Linked DNA regions of Struthio camelus. The protein of the gene in region 1 interacts with the protein of each later gene in a pairwise test. Links are inferred from orthologs where the notes say so. Each region holds a gene or a part of one and is shown on either strand. Other genes may lie near its edges.

Region 1 (7,365 bases):
CCAGGGTCACATGAATCAGGAAGAAAATTTAGGAGTCTGAGCCTCAGGCCTCTGCTCAAACCACTAGACTGTCCCGCTAGCCCTGCAAGGCCTCCTCTACAGGTGCTTATTTTAAGCTTTTTGGTCTCACCTCCTGCGTTTCCTCAGGGAGATGAAGACCATTTCTTTTACCCAATTTGATCAGCCTCTCTAGATATCTCTTTGCTTCAGGTTTCAGTGAAGCACTCTCTGATTTCTCCTGTAAAACAAAATCCGTGAGCACAGGGAATCAAAGGAACAGGTATTCACTCAGCTGCTGTATCTGCTCCTGGAGGAAGGCTGTGGGTTATTGTAATAATGGTAACCCAGAAGCAGGTGGAAACACCCCACGAGAAGGCTTCGGTTTAATGTGTTAGTTCCTATCAGGAATCTGCTTTAAACATCTCACCTCTATGCCGTGTCAGAGCACTTTTCAGGGCATTACCCAGCCCTTCCCTGAAGGAGGCAGGTCAGGGTTACTAATACCATTTTACTAAAGAGGTGATCAAGGCCCTGAGGGAGGTCAGAACCTTCAAATCCCAATTGCCCAGTTCTCACTCTAACAATTGGACCATACTGCCTACAGAGTTCATTTAATACCATTCAATTCTAAGTTCTGGGACAAGAGAAAAGGGTTTCTTGTAATTCCAAGAGGTTTCTGTTCTGTGCTCAGATGCTGAGCCTTTTTCACACCCAGTCGGACACCGAGCATCCTCCCAAGCACATACCTGGAGCCAGACAATCCGCTGGTACACATCCTGCCTCATGCTCATCTCCACGTCGAACTCTGAGAGCTTCTTGTCAGCCTCGGTGCTTGCTGCACGGATGTCTTTACAAGGAGACACGTGCTGGGGGAAGTCCAGCATGTTCCTACGGACTGAAAAGACCGTGGGTTATGGCAAAGGCAACAGCTTTGTGTCCCACAACTGCTCAGGAGTGGGAGCACACGTGGAGAGTCTGTGTTAGTTGGGAGGCAGCCTGATAGCCCTGGAGCCTGATCTACAGCCTGCACAAAGGGAGAGCAAGGCAAACTGCTGCCAACAGACAGACCCAGAGGCGTCACCCCTAGGGCAGCATCCAGTCACCCACAGCACCCCTTCATTCCTTGCTTGCTGCTGAGCCTACTGACCAGATCTGTCCACTGCTTTCCCACTACAATCTCTCTCACAAAACTTGCAGGAATTTCAAGCTTGTGAGATCTCAACTCTTTTGTCAGCTATAGCCGATACCAACAGTTTGAAGAGTCTCACAAAGGGAACAGATGTCTATACTTGCAGACGCAGGCAGCGTCGTTGCCTGTCTCCTTCCCTCAGGAAACCAGGCTAAAAGTGACACAACTTCAGTGCAGATGCTTCTCAAAAGCTACCACGTACGCAGTCTGCTCTTTCCCGACTTATTTTCAAACTTATTTCCATTTTAGAAGTGAATATAGGGAGAATATTTCCTGCCACTGTCTTTGCAAAATCTCAAACCACAGTCCAGCAGGAAAATACTGCTCTCCAGGCAAGCGGATTCCCCACCCAGCAGAAGGTGAGCACACAGCTACTCTCTGCTGCCCACAGAAAGTGCTGACAGTTCTGCTGAAGTTAACATTATCCTGCTTAGCAAGTGCCTTATTTTTTTTTTTTTTTAAGAGAAAAGAAACCAGATAGAAGAAAAAGGAAGCTTGCACACTTGCTTCTATTCTAGACAGATGTAATCACCTCGCAATACAGAGTTAGAAGAGCCAATAGATGTCATGAGGCAGGCGGGGGGTGGGGGTTGCATGACTTTGGCACTCTAGTGCTGTAAATAATTAGCCTGAGATATATTGAAGCCTGCATTATTTGCCAGCATGATGCCATCACATCATGTTACTTTACACCTAATCTCTAAAACTAGTACACTGTTTAAATAGACGAGATAGAGATACCTTTATCCATGCAGAGAAGAAAAAGAGCTGAAGAGTTCTTATATCACCCAAACCGTGTCTGCCAATGCACAATTTACTCCTGCTAAAGGCACCTTGGCATAAAAAAGTATGAGACAACCTTGAAAACCTTGTTACTCTTTCCAGAGACCACCCCATTGCCAAAGCAATAGCACTGCCAAAGCTCTGTCCTCATGTTCTACTTACACTTCTGTTCCAAAACTACTCCTTTCTTTGTGTTTGTATCTAGCTCTACAAATATTAACTGGAAAAAAAAAAACATAGTGCTGAGGGAGCCAAAGGAAAAAAAAAAAAAAGGAGATGACAGTACAGAGCAGAGAAGCAGAGACAAAAAAAAAAAATTCATAACCTGTAGACTTCCAGAAAGCAAGTACTCCCTCTGTGTCTACCTACCTGTATATTCCACTTCCACATCAGCCAGCGCCTTGAGAGTATTTTCGTAGGACACTTCTCCCTGTTCCTGGGAGCCCACCCGGTCATACACAAGCTTGGTCCTCTCTGTGAGCTCCACAGCCATGTTTTCTATCTGTTCGGCGGTCAGGTCCCATCTTAGCTGATTTGCTAATAGCCTGGGGGACTGGCTGTCCACAACGTTACCTGGGTAAGTAGGAAGGAAACCCATGCATGAAGAGTTACATGTCCCTCCCTTACATGAGCTGGAAGGAAAATTCAGGTGCATATCTAAAGCTCGATAAGAAAAGCACTTAAAGGAGAGGCCCAGCAAATGAACTATGCGTACGGGCAAACGGGCTCCTGAGGGACCCGAGTGCTGGATCCAAACGGCAGCCGGATTATTTTCCAGGCGCTGTTTACCCTCTCAGTTATGACAAGCCCTTCACAGAAACCTGACTCCCTCCCTGCTCCCTCACCCGTTGCGCCTCTGGCAGGTGCATCTGGCCACAGAAGCAAGGGTGGCTGTCACAGCCCGGGCACAAGCCTCGGGCTCTGCTTGGGAAGGGGGCTACGCAGGAGAGAGGTGACAGCTGGGGCCGGGGGAAGACCACAGCCCCCTCGCAAAGCTGTTGTGGGGCTCCTTCCCTCTTGCTCCCTATGCAATCACTGTCCCCCTTGTCCCCTGCCCCACATGCAAGCCCTCAGCAATCCTCTGCTATTCCAACCCCTTGTTCTTGTCCCAGGCCTCTCATCCCGGCCCTCCCCGCTGTCCCAGCCCCTCTCCCGGACCCCCCCCACCCCCTCCCCGCTGTCCCAGCCCCTCTCCCGGACCCCCCCCACCCCCTCCCCGCTGTCCCAGCCCCTCTCCCGGACCCCCCCCACCCCCTCCCCGCTGTCCCAGCCCCTCTCCCGGACCCCCCCCACCCCCTTCCCGCTGTCCCAGCCCCTCTCCCGGACCCCCCCGTCCCCTCCCCGCTGTCCCAGCCCCTCTCCCGGACCCCCCCCGTCCCCTCCCCGCTGTCCCAGCCCCTCTCCCGGACCCCCCCGTCCCCTCCTCGCTGTCCCAGCCCCTCTCCCGGACCCCCCCGTCCCCTCCCCGCTGTCCCAGCCCCTCTCCCGGACCCTCCCGTCCCCTCCCCGCTGTCCCAGCCCCTCTCCCGGACCCCCCCATCCCCTCCCCGCTGTCCCAGCTCCTCTCCCGGCCCTCTCAGCCCCTCCCCGCTGTCCCAGCTCCTCTCCCGGCCCCCTCAGCCCCTCCCCGCTGTCCTAGCCCCTCTCACGGCCCCCTCAGCCCCTCCCCGCTGTCCTAGCCCCTCTCACCCCTCCCTTGCTGCCTCTCGCCCCACCTCCCACCCAGCTCCCCTCTCGGCCCCCTTCACGGGCCCCCTCCCCGCGCCCAGACTCCCCCGGAACCGGTACCTGTCGGGGGAGCCATGCCGGGGCCGCCGGGAGGCCCCGCTCCTGCTGACGAGGCGCGATGAGACCGCGCCGGCCCCACGCACGAAGCATATGCCCAACCATAGAGACGGGGGAGAGAGCGGCCGCGCCGAGGGATTGTGGGAGTGGAGGACTCGGCCGCTCTCCCCTTGCCTTCACCCTATCGAGGCGACGGAGGCGGACGAGCCACCCCTCCGAGCCGGGGCTGGGTCCCGGCCGCGGCGCTCAGGCCCCGCGGTGCGGCGGCAGACGGCAGGCGGCGGCCGGGAGCGGAGCCCCGCGGCGAGCGGGCGCAGCCCGGGGTGGGCCCGGGCCCTGCCGGCGAGGCGCGCCCCCGCCGTCTCCATGGCGACGCGCCCCCTCCCTCTCTATGGTAACGAGCAGGGAGGAGCGACTGCTGCACTTCCGGCCTCTCTGCCCTCTCCCAGCGGCCTCAGGAGCGGGGCTGACTGCGCATGCGTCACCCCCGCCACAGCCGCGCAGGGCTGCGGCGGGTTGGGGGCGGGCGGTGCCTCGCGGCGGCGCACGCGCGCCGGGCGGCAGGAAGCGCGTGCGCAGTGGGCGGGCGGCAGCGCGCACGCGCAGTGGGCGGGGCGGCGCGCGTGCGTAGTGCTGCGCCCGCCCCGGCTGAGGCGAGTGTCGGGGCGCCCGGTGAGAGGGGCGGGGGCGCCGGTACCGGGGCCGGGTTGGGCCCTACGGGAGGCTACGCCGCGCTCCCTGTCCAGCGCTGGTTCGGCCCCCGTCTCGGTAGGGGGCAGCGGCCGGGGGCGCGGTGAGGCCTGGCGTTTCCCGCGCCCGGGGCAGCCGGTGGGGCCGGGCCAGGCCAGGCCAGGCCAGGCCGGTGCGCGGGGGGCTCCCCGGCCGCCGCAGGCCCCGGGCGGCGGGCGGACTCTGCCGCTGCTCCCGTCTCTCCCTAAAGCGCCATTTATTGACCGGGCCCTGGGGCTGCCCGCTAGCGAGCGGCCCGGCGGCGGTGGGCCGGGCCCCGGTGGGTCTCGGTGCCCTTTGGGGAGAGCCGCGGCCCGCACCGGGCTGAGGGGCCCTCGGGGTCTGGGGGAGGAGAGGCGCCTTCCTCTCCCCTGCCTGCTGCTGGCAGCCCCCCCGGTGCCTGTTCGGGTTTGTGGCCCCTGGCCTCGCTTGGCGGCGGGGCTGGGAGCTTGGTGCTGCCGTTCCCCAGAGGGACCTGCTACTACCGCTGGGGCTTTTCATTGGTTTGGGGCCGGGGCAGTTCTCCTGGGTTTGCTTTTCACATTTAAACAATTCAGTTCGTCAGCTAAATGACCCTAATGGCTTTTCTGTGCTATAAACCTAGCTAAGTGTTCTGGAAAGGCAGAGCAGCTTAGCTCAGCAGCAATGCCAGGCAAACGCACCTACCTGTTCTTTTCAGAACATGCACGTGGATCTCTGCAAAACCCCTACCTCAGGGTATGCTTGTGGGGCTTGCCTTGCTACGTGTCCTCGTTTTCTGTTGTGGCCTACTTCACTGAGTTGTAGGGGAACTTGATCTTCTGAGCAGGGTAGGCAGCAAACTGGGCAGAGGATTGATAGCCCTGAACCCTGGCTCTGCTAACATTGGCAAGTTGCTTCAGCTGTTGTCTTTGCTTCAGAACCAGATCATGCTTTGGAAGAGGAAGGCTGGGGTTTTATTAGTGATGAGCTCCTCAGTGCTCACTTTGTCTAGACTTGTGACAAAGTCTAGCCTATGTTCTTGTAACACCTGTAATGTTCTTTCCTGGGCAGTAGCCTCGTGGGCAGGGTAGTGCTGTACTGCTCCCTTTGAAGAGGGTGAACTGAGGCCCGGAGGCAGTTAATGCGAAGGAGTCTTTGTTAAAGAGTTTAATGAAGGCTCCAGAGGCCTTAGCCAGTTCCCAAGCATTCGCTTACCTTTTCCCTTCATCCTGGGAAAGAGAAACTTTGACTTCCTGACCATGTTTCTCTGCAGACTTTTTAAGTTACAAGAAGTCAGAGCAGACTGATCACAGCCTCCTAGAATGGCAGACCAGAAGCGCCTTGCCTACTCCATCATCCAGTTTTTACATGACCAGCTACAGAATGGGGGTCTTTCTCCAGATGCTCAGGAGAGTTTGGAAGGTAGGTGGCTATATACACTCCTCTGCATGTGCTTCTAGGTCTGTCAGTCCAACACTTGTGGAAATGTGGACTCTTGGTTACTATCATCTACTTGTTCCTTAGCTGGACTGTTACTAACATCAAAGATTGTTCAAGATTTGAAATTAATCTTATCCCATTGGAAGACATCCAGGGAGTCAGGAGGCTCATTGTTTATCTGATTTCTTGTTATCTCTTTCAAGAATAGATTAGCTTGAGGAAGGGATATACCTCAGGATCAAAAGCCTCCCTGATCCTGGGACTGAGACTTACCAAGTTTTATCTTGAATGAGGTGAGGTCAGGAGGCTCACAGCACATGAAAATGTTTTACACTTGCAGAGTGCTTTTCCTGTTCTGCTATCAAAATGTTTTTCCAGCACACTCTGGAGTATTTATACAGGCCTTTTCAGAGAGCTTTACTAGAAATGAAAGCACGTTGATCTTAAAAGATCTACTTAAGGAGCTTATACTTTATACAGTCTTTGGCCTGTACATTTGTCCCACTGACAGAGCACAGGCACGTCTGTGGAAAGGGGTAGGTACATTCCTGGGCGAGGCAGGAATGGAGAGCGGGAGCAAGGAGGGTGTTGGGTGGGAAGGAGGAGTTTATTTCTGGTGCTTGTGGACTGTAAAACGTGGCACGAGATTTGTAAAACTGGGCTCTGTTACGTTGCTGGGGTTCCCATGCTGGGAGCGCCTTTCTAACCAGGTGCTGGCAGAGGGGGTGGTGGCTGCGGCCAGAGCCTTGTTTGAGTGTCCTTGCACCTCTGCCTGGCCGCAGCCCTTTTAACAGAGCAGCCACCTTGTGGCAAGTGACTACAGGACCTGCTGACAAGTCACTTGCTTCCAGTGTTTTGTTAAAGATGCAGATCTCTCCTTGCTCTGTGCTATCTGCAGCTGCAGGAATGCTATGAAAGCCCCATTCTTGCTTGCTGCCAGTTCTGTTAACTTCTACCCACCAACACCTGCCCTGAGTCACCTACGGGGACGGGAGTTGTGACCGACCTGTTCTAGGAGGTTGCCCTCCAGAGCCAATGTTTGCACCGCTCTATTGAGTTTTTGGCAACTCATGACATGTATTGTGGCATGCTGCTTCAGCTGGATAACAATCATTCAAGCACCTCTCCGCAGTGGGAACCAGAGGGGCTGTGAAGTCACTGAACCTCTCCGGTCAGTATGTGAAGACCACAGTGGGAGACTTCAGTTGCTTTCTGGTGCTGAACTTAATGTAAGGAAAAGACGTGTTACAGCTCAGATGCAGTAGATCTGCACTCAGTTTTTAGCCCTGCTGCAACTTCCCTCTCTGCTCTTGGGACAGATGCTTGGAGAGCTTTACTAAAACAAGCTGACGTCCCTATAAAAACATACCCTCGTTTACCTGTGCTCGCGTACAGCCAGAGGCAACCTGCAGTCCCAGACACTCGCAGAGGGCTGCAGAGGAAGATCTGAGAATATGCCACAAATATCAAGTCTGCTG
Region 2 (7,253 bases), on another chromosome or scaffold:
GGTGGGGGCTCCCCTGAAGCCTGGATTTGAGGTGCGGGTGAGGAGGGGGGGGTTCCCTGAGTGCTGCCGCCCCCACCCCAGGCTCTGCAGCACCGTTCACTCTGGAGCGGAATGATGGCCAGGGCTGAGTTTTGCGGGGGGAGAAGGGTGGGGGCTCCCCTAAAGCCTGGTTTTGGGGTGCAGGTGAGGGGGGGGGTCCCTGGGTGCCCCTCCCCACTCCCCCACCTCGTGCCAGGCTCTGCGGCACCGTTCACTCTGGAGTGGAATGACAACCAGGGCTGAGTTTTGCGGGGGTAGAAGGGTGGGGGCTCCCCTAAAGCCTGGTTTTGGGGTGCGGGTGAGGAGGGGGGGGTCCCTGGGTGCTCCCCCCCCACCCCCCCCCCCCGTGCCAGGCTCTGCAGCACCGTTCACTCTGGAGCGGAATGACGGCCAGGGCTAAGTTTGGGGGGATAGAAGGGTGGCGGCTCCCCTAAAGCCTGGATTTGAGGTGCGGGTGAGGAATGGGGGTCCCCTGAGTGCTGCCGCCCCCACCCCAGGCTCTGCGGCACCGTTCACTCTGGAGCGGAATGACAACCAGGGCTGTTTGCAGGGAACAGAAGGGTGGGGGCTCCCCTAAAGCCTGGTTTTGGGGTGCAGGTGAGGGGAGGGGTCCCTGGCTGCCTCCCCCACTACCCCACTCCCCCACCTCGTGCCAGGCTCTGCAGCACCGTTCACTCTGGAGCGGAATGATGGCCAGGGCTGAGTTTGGGGAGGCAGAAGGGTGGGGGCTCCCCTAAAGCCTGGATTTGAGGTGCGGGTGAGGAAGGGGGGTCCCCTGAGTGCTGCCTCCCCCACCCCAGGCTCTGCGGCACCGTTCACTCTAGAGCGGAATGACGGCCAGGGCTGAGTTTGCAGGGAACAGAAGGGTGGGGGCTCCCCTCAAGCCTGGTTTTGGGTTGTGGGTGGGGAGTGGGGGGTCCCTGGGTGCTCCCCCCCCACTCCCCCACCTCGTGCCAGGCTCTGCAGCACCGTTCACTCTGGAGCGGAATGATGGCCAGGGCTGAGTTTGGAGGGGGGAACGGAAGGGTGGGGGCTCCCCTAAAGGCCAGTTTTTGGGTGGGTGGGGGATCCTGTCTGCTCCCCCCCACTTACTCCCCCACCTCACGCCAGGCTCTCCAGCACCGTTCACTCTGGAGTGGAATGACAACCAGGGCTGAATTTTGGGGGGGGGGTGCTGAGCAAAGGTGGGGGCTCCCCTAAAGCCTGGTTTTGGGGTGCAGGTGAGGGGAGGGGTCCCTGGGTGCTCCCCCCCCACTCCCCCACCTCGTGCCAGGCTCTGCAGCACCGTTCACTCTGGAGTGGAATGATGGCCAGGGCTGAGTTTGGGGAGGCAGAAGGGTGGGGGCTCCCCTAAAGCCTGGATTGGAGGTGCGGGTGAGGAAGGGGGGTCCCCTGAGTGCTGCCGCCCCCACCCCAGGCTCTGCGGCGCCGTTCACTCTGGAGCGGAATGACAGCCAGGGCTGAGTTTGGGGAGGCAGAAGGGTGGGGGCTCCCCTAAAGCCTGGGTTTGAGGTGCGGTTGAGGAAGGGGGGTCCCCTGGGTGCTGCCACCCCCACCCCAGGCTCTGCAGCACCGTTCACTCTGGAGCAGAATGACGGCCAGGGCTGAGTTTGGGGAGGCAGAAGGGTGGGGGCTCCCCTAAAGCCTGGGTTTGAGGTGCGGTTGAGGAAGGGGGGTCCCCTGGGTGCTGCCACCCCCACCCCAGGCTCTGCAGCACCATTCACTCTGGAGCGGAATGATGGCCAGGGCTGAGCTTCGGGAGGGAGCAGAAGGGTGGGGGCTCCCCTAAAGGCTGGTTTCGGGGTGTGGGTGGGAAGTGGGGGGTCCATGGGTGCTCCCCCCCCACTCCCCCACCTCGTGCCAGGCTCTGCAGCACTGTTCACTCTGGAGCGGAATGACGGCCAGGGCTGAGTTTTGCGGGGGGAGAAGGGTGGGGGCTCCCCTAAAGCCTGGTTTTGGGTTGAGGAAGAGGAGGGGGGGGCTCCCCTGGTTGCTCCTCCCCACCATCCTAGGCTCTGCAGCACTGTTAACTCTGGAGCGGAATGATGGCCAGGGCTGAGTTTGGGGGTGGGGGGGGAGCAGGAAGGATGGGTGTCCCCTGGGTGCTGAGTGCCTCGCGCGGAGGAGGGGAGGGGGGTGCCGGCTGCCCATCCGGGGGTGCTAAAATTGGGGGGGGGCACAGGGGAAACCCCCCCTCCTCTCCAGGCCGCCATTTTGGGGTGCCGGTGACCCCCCCCCCCACCTCTCTTCCTCTAGGGCGCCATTTTGGGGGGTCCGGAACCTCCTTAGCGGAGCTGAAGGGGGTCCCTCCATTTGGGGAAGGGTCCCCGAGCTGCCTGGTTGGGGGGCGAGGGGGGGGAAGTCCTCCAATTTTGGGGGGGGGGGCGGAGGGGGGGGCAGGCACCGCTCCCTCACCGCGCTGGGCAGCCTCCGTCGGGGTGGCCATGGCCGGGTCGGGGCCGGTTCGGGTCCCTTCGGGTCGGTTCGGGTCTTTCCGGAGCCGGTTCGGGTCTTTCCGGAGCCGGTTCGGGTCCCTTCGGGCCGGTTCGGGTCCCTTCGGGTCTTTCCGGAGCCGGTTCGGGTCCCTTCGGGCCGGTTCGGGTCTTTCCGGAGCCGGTTCGGGTCCCTTCGGGTCTTTTCGGGTCCCTTCGGGTCTTTTCGGGTCCCTTCGGGTCTTTCCGGAGCCGGTTCGGGTCCGTTCGGGTCTCTGCCCCCCCCACCTCCCGCCCTGGCTGCCTTCGGGTCCGCTCGGAGCCGGTTCGGGGTCGGTTCGGTTCCGGTTCGAGCCGGTTCTGGTCGGTTCGGGGCCGGTTCGGCTCCTCTTCAGGCCGGTTCGGGCCGGTTCTGGTCGGTTCGGGGCCGGTTCGGCTCCTCTTCAGGCCGGTTCGGGCCGGTTCCGAGCCGGTTCGAGTCGGTTCGGAGCCGGTTCGGGGCCGGTTCGGTTCCTCTCCGGCTCCTCTCACAACCGGGTCGGATCAAGCCGGTACCGGCTCTGCGGCTGCGGCACTAACCGAGGGGGGGGGGGGGCGGGAACGGCCGAGGGGGGGGCGGAGCCAGGCGAGGCCCGCCCACTGGGCCCAGGAGTCCGGGGTGGGGGGGGGGAAAGGGGGGGGGGTTGGAGGGGCCCAGGCATCCGGGGGTGGGGGGGGTCGGAGGGGCCCAGGTGTCCGGGGGGGCTCGGAGGGGCCCAGGTGTCCGGGGGGGGGTCGGAGGGGCCCAGGCATCTGGGGGTGGGGGGCTCGGAGGGGCCCAGGTGTCCGGGGGGGGTCAGAGGGGCCCAGGCATCCGGGGGGGGGGGTCAGAGGGACCCAGGAGTCCGGGGGGGGATCGGAGGGGCCCAGGCGTCCGGGGAAGGGGGGGGGGTCGGAGGGGCCCAGGCGCCCGGGGGGGGGTCAGAGGGGCCCAGGCATCCGGGGGGGGGTCAGAGGGACTCACGTGTCTGGGGGGGGTCGGAGGGGCCCAGGCACCCGGGGGGGGGTCAGAGGGACTCACGTGTCTGGGGGGGGGTCGGAGGGGCCCAGGCGTCCGGGGGGGGTCAGAGGGGCCCAGGCGTCCGGGGAAGGGGGGGGGTCAGAGGGGCCCAGGCGCCCGGGGGGGGGGGGTCAGAGGGACTCACGTGTCTGGGGGGGGGTCGGAGGGGCCCAGGCGTCCGGGGAAGCCCCCCCCCCAATCGAGGGACCCCCCCCCACCTCAACCCGGTATCCCGGCGCTGACACCGCCTTTGGCAGCGCAACAGCGTGACGGCGCAACAGCCGGCACCGCCCCACCCCGGCGCCGCAACACCCGGCACTGCGACACCCGACACCACCCCACCCCGGCGCCGCAACACCTGACCTGCGACACCCGGCGCCGCAACACCTGGCGCCCCAGCAGAGCAACAGCCGGCACCGCAACCCCTGGCAGCAGGACAGCTGGCGCCGCTACACCTGGCGCCACGAACCTGGGGCAGCACAACCGCACGCCAGCTGGCACCGCGACACCCGGCAATGCGACACCCGACACTGCAACACCTGGCACCGTCGCAAAGCAGCAGCTGGCACTACAACACCCGGCAGGGCAACAGCCCCAAACCCCCCCACGCGGTAAAATGACACCCCCCTGACACCCCAACGCCGCAACAGTGTGACACCCGGCAGCGTGACAGCCAGCACGGCGACACCTGAACCACAACACCCCCCCCCAACATACACACACAGCAAAACAAACACCTCCGACAACCCAACACCTGGCCCACAATGCCCCACAGGCACCAAAACGACACCCGGCACTGCAACACCCGACCCACAACACCCCACATGCAACAGAACCACACCCGGCAGCACATCACCCCAACACTGCAACACCCGGCCACGCCACAACTAGACCGGCAACACCCGGCTGACCCACAGCATCCTGTCTTGCAACAAGATGACGCTGTGACACCCCATGACGGTGACACCTGGCCCACGGCACCCCACAACCAGCGAAACACCGCCTGCAACACTGCAACAACCCAACACCACAACACCCAGCAACGTGACACCCCCGCCAACACCCTGCATCCAACAAAACGGTGTCCTGGACACCGCAACACCCGACCCACAACACCGTTCAAGTGACAAAGCGGCACCTGGGACCAAGATACCCCCAGTACAACGGCAGGCGGTGCACAACACCCGGCGCACAACGAAAGGGCACCCAGCAATGCTACAGCTGGCATCACCGCAACCCACCCCTGCAACAACCCCTATGCAGCGACAGCCAACCTGCAACACCCCGCAGTCGACGTGACAGCCAGCACCACAACACCTGAACACTGCAACACCCAGCAGTTGCACAACTGGCCCCTTGGTACCTCCAACCCGGCAACAGCTGACCCAAGTCCAACAACACCCAGCATCACACACCCCCAACACCGTGACACCCAACCCCCAACACCCCATAGCCAACAAATCGATACTTGGGGCTGAGAAACCCCCAGCACAGCAACACCCGAACCGCAACACCACCGACAAGCGACACCCGGTGCCGTGACACCCCACCGCACAACACCTGGCGATGCGACAACCAGCCCCCACGATACTGCCAATGCCGCAACCCCCCACAACCGAACCTGGCCCCACAACACACTAATACAGCTACACCCAACACCTGGCAATGCCACAACCCGCCACATGACACCCCCCCCAACACCGCAACACATGACCCACAACCCGACCAGCAAAACAACACCCAGCACCCCAACACCCCAGCACAACAACGCATAACACTTGGTGATGCAACAGCCACCGATGTGACACCCCCGACAGGGCAACGCCTGACCCCCAACCCCAGACAACCAACAAAGCGACACCCGGCAGCGTAACAACCCAATGCCACAACACCCAGCAACGCCGCTACTGACGCCACGACACCCGTAACACCACAACACCTGGTGCACAACACCCCACAACCAGCAAAATGCCACCCGGCACTTTGACAGACAAACCACCGCCCCCCCAGCAACACCCGACCCACAGCACAACCAGGGAAGCGACGCTACACCGTGACTACCCTGATACAACAACACCCAGTAGGTTACACCCAACACACAAAACAATGCCATGACACCTCGCCACCACAACACCCCCAGCAATGTGACAATCAGCTGCTGGACACCCCCCAACACCGCAACGCCCAACCCACAACACCCCACGACTGACGAAACGGCACCCGATGCCGGCCACCCCAACACAACACCCAACGCCCAACACCTGGTAGCGCAACCACCGCCCACACAGCGCCCACAACACCCCGACACAACAGAACGACTCCCCAACCCTTGAGCCGCAACACCCCAACGGGCAACACACAACAAAAGAGACACCCAACCACCCCCCCCTCCAACTGGCAAAACAACACCCAGCACCGTGCCATCCCACCCGCCAGAACACCCGTCAACGCAACAACCACCACCAGGCAACACCCTCCTCCAAAAAAAGGAGAGACACCCCAGGCAAAAAAAAACACCTGACACAACACACGAACCCCCAAACCTGGCTCCCAACACCTCAACCCCCTCCACCTGACACCGCACACCCCACACCAGCAACAGCCACGGGCGGCGGTGGCAGCGTTTATTGGCTGGGGCCGGGGGGGAGGGGGCAGCAGGGACAGGCGGTGGTGCCTGTGCGACTGTCACGGCGTGCACAGGCGCGGGCGGGTGTTGCGGCTGTCCCTGCCGTGGGGGGGGGTCACCTGCAAGAAAGGGGGTGGGAGGGGGGGTCACAATGGGGAAGGGACCCAGGCGTCCGGGCGCCCCCTGACCGGGCTCCCGCCGCGCCCGGGGAGCCCAGGCGTCCCGGGGGCCCAGGCGTCCGGGTGCCGACTCACCCCCTGCCGCCGCTCTATCTCATCCGGGTGGACAAACCTGCCCAGGTGGGAAAGGGTGAACGGGGGGGGCCCAGGCGTCCGGGTTAACGCCGCCCCCCCCCCAACAAGGGGCCCAGGCATCCGGGTCCCCCCACCCCAAAGGGGCCCAGGCGTCCGGGTGCCACCACCCACAAAGGGCCCAGGCGTCCGGGTGTGATGCCAAAGGGGCCCAGGCGTCTGAGTGTGACCCCAAAGGGGCCCAGGCGTCCGGGTCCCCCCACCCCAAAGGGGCCCAGGCGTCCGGGTGTCTCCCCCTTCCAAGGGGCCCAGGCGTCCGGGTGCCCCCAAAGGGGCCCAGGCGTCCGGGTGACCCCCACCCAAAGGGGCCCAGGCGTCCGGGTGCTTCCCGCAAGGGGCCCAGGCATCCGGGTGGCTCCCACCCAAAGGGGCCCAGGTGTCCGGGTGCTTCCCGCAAGGGGCCCAGGTGTCCGGGTGCCCCCCCCACAAGGGACCCAGTTGTCCAGGTGGCCCCCACCCACAAGGGGCCCAGGCGTCCGGGTGCCCCCACAAGGGACCCAGGTGTCCGGGTGGCCCCCACCCACAAGGGGCCCAGGTGTCCGGGTGCTTCCCCCAAGGGGCCCAGGCGTCCGGGTGACCCCCACCCAAAGGGACCCAGGGCGCTCACGGCGGATGGACTGGCGCAGGGCTCCCTCCTCCTCGTCGGGTTCCCCCGTCCTGCAACAGCCGGCGCCACCCCAGTTACTCCCAGTTACTCCCAGTTGCCCCCCAAGTTACCTCCCAGTGCCTCCCAGTTGCCCCAGTGCCCCCCCAATTGCCCTCCCAGTGCCCCCAGTGCCCTCCCAGTGCCTCCCAGTTGCCCCAGT

Evidence for each region.
Region 2: the proteins of SGTA (region 1) and FXYD7 interact in binary tests that used the Homo sapiens proteins (3 or more experiments, as listed by UniProt). The two-hybrid records come from large-scale screens. The link is inferred for Struthio camelus from reciprocal best matches to the Homo sapiens genes SGTA and FXYD7.

The regions. Positions count from the first base shown.
Region 1 is NC_090967.1:6,823,877-6,831,241, reverse strand, and holds the start of SGTA (small glutamine-rich tetratricopeptide repeat-containing protein alpha), read left to right. Parts: upstream 1-4,288; 5' UTR 4,289-4,410; exon of another isoform or gene 4,411-4,525; intron 4,526-5,720; 5' UTR 5,721-5,769; coding exon 5,770-5,869; intron 5,870-7,365. Other genes in the region: THOP1 (thimet oligopeptidase), read right to left, coding at 131-238, 747-895, 2,342-2,545, 3,761-3,776. UniProt on the Homo sapiens protein: Co-chaperone that binds misfolded and hydrophobic patches-containing client proteins in the cytosol. Mediates their targeting to the endoplasmic reticulum but also regulates their sorting to the proteasome when targeting fails.
Region 2 is NC_090974.1:305,482-312,734, reverse strand, and holds the start of FXYD7 (FXYD domain-containing ion transport regulator 7), read right to left. Parts: upstream 3,054-7,253; 5' UTR 2,654-3,053; exon of another isoform or gene 2,602-2,653; 5' UTR 2,486-2,601; coding exon 2,455-2,485; intron 1-2,454. Other genes in the region: FXYD1 (phospholemman), read right to left, coding at 6,405-6,427, 7,055-7,104. UniProt on the Homo sapiens protein: Associates with and regulates the activity of the sodium/potassium-transporting ATPase (NKA) which catalyzes the hydrolysis of ATP coupled with the exchange of Na(+) and K(+) ions across the plasma membrane.